Linked DNA regions of Danio rerio. The protein of the gene in region 1 interacts with the protein of each later gene in a biochemical or structural test. Links are inferred from orthologs where the notes say so. Each region holds a gene or a part of one and is shown on either strand. Other genes may lie near its edges.

Evidence for each region.
Region 2: the proteins of myo6b (region 1) and tax1bp1a form a complex in vitro, tested with the Homo sapiens proteins (5 studies listed by BioGRID, with this or other methods). The link is inferred for Danio rerio from reciprocal best matches to the Homo sapiens genes MYO6 and TAX1BP1.

The regions. Positions count from the first base shown.
Region 1 is NC_133192.1:38,705,666-38,709,600, reverse strand, and holds the start of myo6b (myosin VIb), read left to right. Parts: upstream 1-1,507; 5' UTR 1,508-1,657; intron 1,658-3,935. UniProt on the Homo sapiens protein: Myosins are actin-based motor molecules with ATPase activity. Unconventional myosins serve in intracellular movements. Myosin 6 is a reverse-direction motor protein that moves towards the minus-end of actin filaments.
Region 2 is NC_133194.1:21,855,884-21,859,818, reverse strand, and holds the start of tax1bp1a (tax1-binding protein 1 homolog A), read left to right. Parts: upstream 1-1,517; 5' UTR 1,518-1,630; exon of another isoform or gene 1,631-2,187; intron 2,188-3,725; 5' UTR 3,726-3,760; coding exon 3,761-3,935. Other genes in the region: hibadha (3-hydroxyisobutyrate dehydrogenase a), read right to left, coding at 471-540.

The DNA.
Region 1 (3,935 bases):
CTCAGAGCATATTCATACTCTAGTTATGCTGGTTATTTTATGTTTTTATTTATAATGTGTCCCAGCTGGCATAACCCCCTTACTTCATATGTTCTCCCATTAGAGCTAGTAATATAGGCTACATAAAAAATTATTATTTTAAGATAATCATTTTGCTATAAGAACTCTTTCATATTTTTTGCTTCTGGCAAATGTGCTCTGGTACACCTTGCATGCTTTATGCACGTTTGTTTTTATGTCTGCAATGCTCTTGGGAAATGCAGAAGTCAGCGTGGCATTAAATCTAATTAATGGAGCTTCTTCAGGCTCACCAGATGACTTAAAACTCTTGTTTAGCTGTTTCTGGGGAAACTGATGTCGAATATTAGGCCTACTCTGTCTCCATCCCAAGATATTCTGTGAGACTATACGTAACTCAAGCTGGAGGCTATAGTTAACCTGTATAACACCCCAAAGCAACAGCATGAAGTCGTATATGGGATGAAGAGTGGTTGTCAGAGTCTTAAACACACACAAAAAAACTGTTTGTTATAACTTTTTTGCTTAGAAATTTGATATAGCGACACGTAGTGAGAGATCAGGTGTCCTAATTAGATTTACAAACACAAAGTCTGCTTTCAATGTGGTTTAAGATTTCAACTTAGGAATACTTCTATACGTTTTGAATTACAAGCCAAATAAAATATTAATGAGCCTTCAGTTTGTATCAGTTGCGCGCCTTTTAGTAACTATGGCAACCCAGTAGGCACCTTGTGACTTTCTCCTCATCCCTTAGCAAGTTTTATCCATCCTGAATTAAACTTTACTAGTACGTTAACGAACTGGGACTTGTTTTAGTACAATAATACAGTTTATAACTTGAAGAACTGATTCCAGCCACCAGAACGTTTTAACTTAACCTTCTTTTAGTTCCCAGAACGTTCTTTTAAGGTTTTTGGTTAGCCAAAATGAAAACAACATTAGCTTTAACGTTAGGTTGTAAAGTGTACACAAGACGATAATAATGTGCTTGAGGGGATAACTTTTAATATTAGACGACCTGTTTTAGTATGTTTGATGTTTTTATGTGATGATAACACTATTTTTTTACATAACACTAATAAGCAGCTTGATTTGAGCGATAAGAACTGGTAAAATTTACCATGACATACTATATATTTAGTCATTAAAACTAAAATATTCCTCGTAAAACATATTCTATATCACCTTTATAGTAAACAACCAGTTATTCGTGTCATTTAGATCAATCAATGTATCGGCTACGTCTTAAAAGATTAGTTTGCGCCCTACCTAGGCAGCATAATGGTGCGTCATGTATTTGTAGTGAAGCCCGTCAAGTAACTTATATCATTGTAGCGCGTACATGTAAAGTCCACTGCACTCGCCTACTGCATGCCGCTTTTACTCAAACTATTTTGCCAGTCATGACCCTGTGTATTGAGACACCACCTGTGTCAGTCAGCGCTACTGTGTCACCGTTGAGGTCGCTGTTATTCCAGTGGACTTCAGTCTGAAGCCGGACACACAGAGAGGAACGACAGCGGCTTTGGAAAAGGGAATATTCAGCATCGAGGAGGGAATCTGTCACCGCTAACCGGGACAGTCTGTCGCTCATCTGTCCTCAAAAGAAGCTGCTCTTACCGGATTTACACACAATGTGAGTGACTTCGCTTACTTTATTTATTGCTTGACTGCGCTTTGTGGCAACTAAAGGTGTTGTTAGGCGTAAGTTGTGTTTAATTGCTTCTACAGTGGCGCGCTAGCATGCTGCTAATGAATGTGTTCATTCAGTATGGTTACAGTGAATTTTGTTATGTCAATGTTTGCAATGTCATTTATTTTTGCAGAATTTTGTTTAAAACGCAGGGTTGTATGACAACGAGTTCGGTTAACAAACTACTAGGAATACATGTATATCAGCGATAGTTAAATTCATTCTTAATCTTGCTTTTGGTTGTGTTTAGTTTTTTTTCTTTGAGAGCTTTTTCTATGGTGTTTTGTAAGCTGCGTGTGTGTGTGACCAAAGTTTTCCAGAAAATTAGTTAAGGCAGGCAGTATGTCATGGAAACTCGACAGGATATCCTATGTGTGCAGTTATAACGAGTGTAACTTTCTTCTGAAGTTGTGGAAACCATTGACAGAGGTAACGTTAGTTATTTGGGTTCCAATCGTATGAATGATGGATGCTTTAAACGCTGAATTAGGTGACTGTAAACTGCCGTTTGTGCGCATGCGCGACTGCTCTGGTTAAACGTCGTAATGGTTCCACCTTTATAATCCCCCAAGGGTCATTCTACGAAATGTGTGTCGTTTAAAGCGATTTATACTTGCATTTATGCACACATACAGTATGCATGACATTAATGTGGCTATTGCAGCTAGCTTTTAAAATGATTTTGGTGAGAGCTTTAAAAATAAATAATAATAACAAAACTTTACATTGCAATTCATTCATTCATATATTCATTCATTCATTCATTCATTCATTCATTCATTCATTCATTGGCCACACTTCATTTTATGGTAAAACTCTTGCTATTAATAAATCATTAATTTTGACTTGTAGTTTGACAAACTTCTACTTTGCTGCTTATTAATAGTAAGGTTTTAGTTGGCTTTATGTGTTTGGTAGGGTTAGGGATGCAAAATATGTATTTTAAGTACTACCAAACAGTTAATATCTCATTAATATACAGGCAATAAGCCAGTTGTTAATAGTAAGAATTAGTACTTGAACTAAATTGTTACCTATTTCATATGTTGTTGCAATTTTGCAATAATCATTTAAGAGATATAGCCTTTAAAATATATTTGTAGAATTTTGGACTTATGTAAACAGAGCATCTTTAGGTGCCAAAAACTCATTTTGTTATCTTGTCATATTAGTGTCAAAAACTATATACTGTATAATATCCACCCCCCCCCCCCCCAAAAAAAAAAATAAATAAAAAAATTCAGATATGTGTGTGTGTGTGTGTGTGTGTGTATATTAGGGATGCAACGATTATACATTTTGGTTGTACGATTATAGTCATGGAAATAATCACGGTTTCACGGTTATCACAATTATTATGCATTTATTAATTTCAAGCCCCACCAGTTTAGAAAATAAGATAAAAACTCCTTTTGCTTTACAGTGTTATTTATTGCTGCTCAGTAGCTAATTAATAAAGCACAAAATAATATAAAAAACGAACAATAGTAAATTTCTCTCTTTGTGCTTAAAAATAAGTGAATGTTTTTGACATTTAAACAAAGAATTTTACACTGTAAATAAATGACAGAACAATAAATAAATAAAAGAAAGAATAAATAAAAAAATGTAGGAGCACCCACTAAAAATTAATAAACACCACTGCAACTTGTATATTAAGGGATTTATTGTATTTGAAAACAACATCAATTAGGACTAACAAAAACCACAAACAACTATCTAACTAATGCTGAGATGACTTATTGATATTTGCGCAATAACTTCAAAATGAATGTCTAATAATTCTAAAATATTATTGATGACGAAGATGACACTAATACTAACAATGAATGATTAACATTTCTCATTTTCTTGCTGCTTTGAATGTGAGAGTTATCTGCTATAAAAAGTCCTACTGTTACTTTATGATAAATAAATGTATGGTTTGCATCAAAAAAATTAAGCATTGCAGTAAGAAAAGTTTATTTTGCACTATTGTTTTATATGCTGGTTAATTTACAAACAGAAAGAATGGACAAAAGAAAGGAAGAAAAGTCTCACTTCTGCTCCTATTTAAAAGTTTTGGTTTCGGTTTGTTCATTGTAAATGCTTAGTCTCGTTATGCTCTGATTTTCATCACTCTGTGTGAAAAAAACAACAACAGTGAGTCAGCCGGCTCATACAAGCGGGGTAGAGCAGGATTCTGTAGATGACCACCAGTGCAGTACTGTTGTCATGAGCC
Region 2 (3,935 bases), on another chromosome or scaffold:
TTAAAGTCAAGTATAAAATAAATCTAATTCATGGAGTTATTAGGTTAAGCACATAATAAAATATTTGCCATATGAAAACTTAAGTGACATAAAAGCTTAATTGCATTCTAAACTTGTTAAAAAGGTAGATTTTTAAAATAGATACTTAAAACATTGAAATGGTTAATAGTTTACAGTTTAAGAAACATTTTAACTATAATATGCAAGCTATGAGCTCCTAAACCCCAACTGGATTGCACAACTTGTATTGCTTAAAAAGTAAACAGTGCATTGCATATTGTGCACAATGCCTGATCATATATTTCTACAGACATGCTCAAGCATACTCCACGTATGTGCACAAAACTGACAACAAAATAAAAAAAAAAGAAAAATCTAAATTCCCGAACCAAGTTACTCTTTGCAATAACATTAACGGCGTATTTATCAACTTAGTCTGTCAACAGACGATTAATGAGGAAATGACCTACCCAATATGAGCTCCACATGTTTATTGCTTCTTTTATAAAAATTCCGATACCCTCTAAACAAAGCGGCCATGCTTATTCCCCTTGACCTCAGCGCCTAGAGACAGTTGTGTACGAGTCAGGAACACAGGGGGCGGGTCCTATGACTGACATCTCCCTTCCACCAATCACTGATACGGATTTGATTATCAACCAATTAGATCGAGATCGTCGTTCAGATATCATGGAGTTTCTCCCCGCATTCATGCTGTGATTTCTTTGAATAGAATTAAGGAGATACTACTTAAAAGATTAAGAATGGCTAGACGTTTTTGACTTCTAAGCGAATGTATGGTCACTGTATGAACTTGTTGTCCTTGCGCTTAAAGGAGAACAACCACACTTTGCTCCGAATCCAAAACACAGTTGCTAAACAAATGAAAAAATACAAAGACCCTTTCCTAGTACATGAATAAGGTTTCTGAAGTTCTCTTTTCTGTTGTAAAATTGTTTAAAGATCTTTAATTCGTCTCGTAACGTTATTCAACTTATATGAAACAACAATTCTACAACTGTTTGTGAGGCCTTATAAATGATCTGTTTGCTTTGCTCGATAATTGCATTACATTTTCTACCCTCGCTTTTCATACATTATACTCGATTCAATGTATAAAAAACGCATTTCATTGATTAAACTGTTCCAATTTTCAATTCAATCACAGTTTCCATATAGTTCCATGATAGTGTACGCTTAGCATTTTCTATTTATATGTTTTAATGAAGCAATAACTAACTCGTAAACGAATCGTCCTTTTAAACCTTAGAAGTGAACTGAAATGATTCTCTCACGAACTGAATCTTAGCTTACAAGTAAAACATTCAAGGTGAACCGGGGTCTCTTTTAACCGCATAGTGTTCGAGAGGACACAGATTCGCTCGAAAGAGTCGGACCCATCGCTCTTTTGTGGGGGTTCACCACTAACCAATGGTAGTACAAGAATATCTGTGACATGAATAAATAAACCAATCACAGAGCGCGACCTACCGGAAGTTTCATGACGTATCTAGGTCCCAAAACATGTTGACACCCGGTTCAGTTTTATGACAGGGACGCTCTCAGTCTGCGTTGACTAGCAATCTAAACAACAAGAGTTATCAGATCTTCAAGTTAACATGGATTACAGGTATAATAGATTTATTCAGCGATGACTTGTATATTTATAGTGACAATTTTGGAAACAGAATTTGTAATTGCGTGCTTGTTATCGCAATGTATTTAGGGCTGGGATTGCAGTGAAGAGATTAAAACTCATTTCATTAGCTCATTCTCTAAGGTCACCGGCAGTAATAATTTTGGCGTATAATATAGGAAAAGGAACGCATTTTACTATACGTTTAGTGCAACTATCATTAAAACCCGCAGTGGCTTGTTATTTAGCAACATAATTCAAGAGAAACTGCATATACAGTAGGCTACCTTTCGGTTAAAACAGACATGTTTCAGTAAGACAAAGAATAGTACGTTTTTAAGCTTTTGTATCGTCAGTTCGGGTGGAATATATATATTATTGTAAAATAAATTAGCTGTCGACGATAAAGGCCTGGAAAGGGATGACAGCACCATCAGCAGTTCCATGAATACAGGCCTACTCGGCATCGCCCCATCCAGCCTGAACTAGGGCAGGTCTTCCTTATGCAGCTCATTTATAAACCATTTCTATACATTACAGTTTTAGCTAAGGTAAATATGTCCTAATAACATTTTCATAACATCCTTTTTACGTTTTCTGAATGCTCTTTGTAAACGTCTGCTTTTCTACATGTTTAAAAAATATGTTAAACAAGATTTTTCTTGTTTTGATTAATGCTGAGGAAACTTTCCATTTTATAATTTGCAACCAACATGGGAACGTTATGTTTTCTGAACATTCTAAGATTCGTTCAGCTGCAATGTTTTAGGCAAAGTACCATAGACAACGTAAAATATTCAATATTCAATATTATTACTAAACATTTATCCTCAAAAACATAAAGGCGACATGAAGAATATTCATTCAAAACTTTGAGAGAATGTTAGACTTTCATACGCCAATATTTTTAAACTTTTAAAGTAACACTATGAACTAAGAATTTAAACATGCATATCAGAAATTAAAATTAATCAGAAGATACTTAAAATGTAGATTTATGTAGACAATTTTTATAATACTTGATTCTTATAGGTTCATTCATTCATTCATTCATTAAATTTTTGGCTTAGTCCCTTTATCAATCGGGACTCACCATCAGAATGAACTGCCAACTTATCCAGCATATGTTTTACGCAGTGGATGCCCTTCCAGCTGCAACCCATCACTGGGAAACACCCAAACACACTCATTCACTACAAACATTTTGGCCTACCCAATTCACCTATACCGCATGTCTTTGGATCTGTGAGGGGAAACCAGGAAACCCACGCAAATATGGGGAGAACGTGCAAACAGAAACACCAACTGATCCAGCCAAGGCTCGAACCAGCGACCATCTTGCTATGAGGCGACAGTGCTACTCACTACACTACCGCACCACCATTCTTATAGGTTAATCATAATAAATGATGAAGTATAAAAACGGGACAAGGTCTAATAATTCATCTTTTTTTCTCATTCATTCATTTTCTTTTCGACTTAGTCCCTTTATTAATTCCTGGTCGCCACAGCGGAATGAACCGCCAACTTATCCTGCACGTTTCATGCCTCGGATATCCTTCCAGCCGCAACCCATCTCTGGGAAACATCCATACATACCCTTTCACTCTCATATACTAAGGACAATTTAGCCTTCCCAATTCACCTGTACCGCATGTCTTTGGACTGTGGCGGAAACCGGAGCACCCGAAGAAAACCCATGCATACGCACGGAGAACATGCAAACTCCACACAGAAACGCCAACTGATCCATGCCAACTGCTCAAACCAGCGACCTTTTTGCTAATCAGCGACAGCACTACCTACTGCGCCACTGCGTCAACCATCTTTGTTTCTGTGAAACCAATAATTTCTAAATAGCTGTGCATGGATTTTGGTTTTTACGAGTAAAACAGGAGAATATAATTAATATTTAATATGCATTGATTTATTAATTTGTAGTTAGCAGCAAAAATGCAGAATAATATATAAATAAAATATCTATTGGGGTGTATTCTGCAGTAATGATCATTTAATTGAATGTTTTACCTTGTGTGAATGTGTAAATTAAACAGAATTGCTTCACAATCTTCATTCCTTCTGCTTCCAGGTAGAACAGTCACAGGCATTCCTAGATCACTTACGATGTCGTCATCCTGTAACGTGGGAGCATCTGCAGGTGGAGGAGGAAGTGTTGTCATGGAGACATCCAACTTCGCCCATGTCATCTTCCAGAATGTTGGGAAAAGCTTCCTCCCTCAGGCAGCTCTTGAATGTCATTACACACTCACTCCTTTCATCACACCACATCCAAAAGACT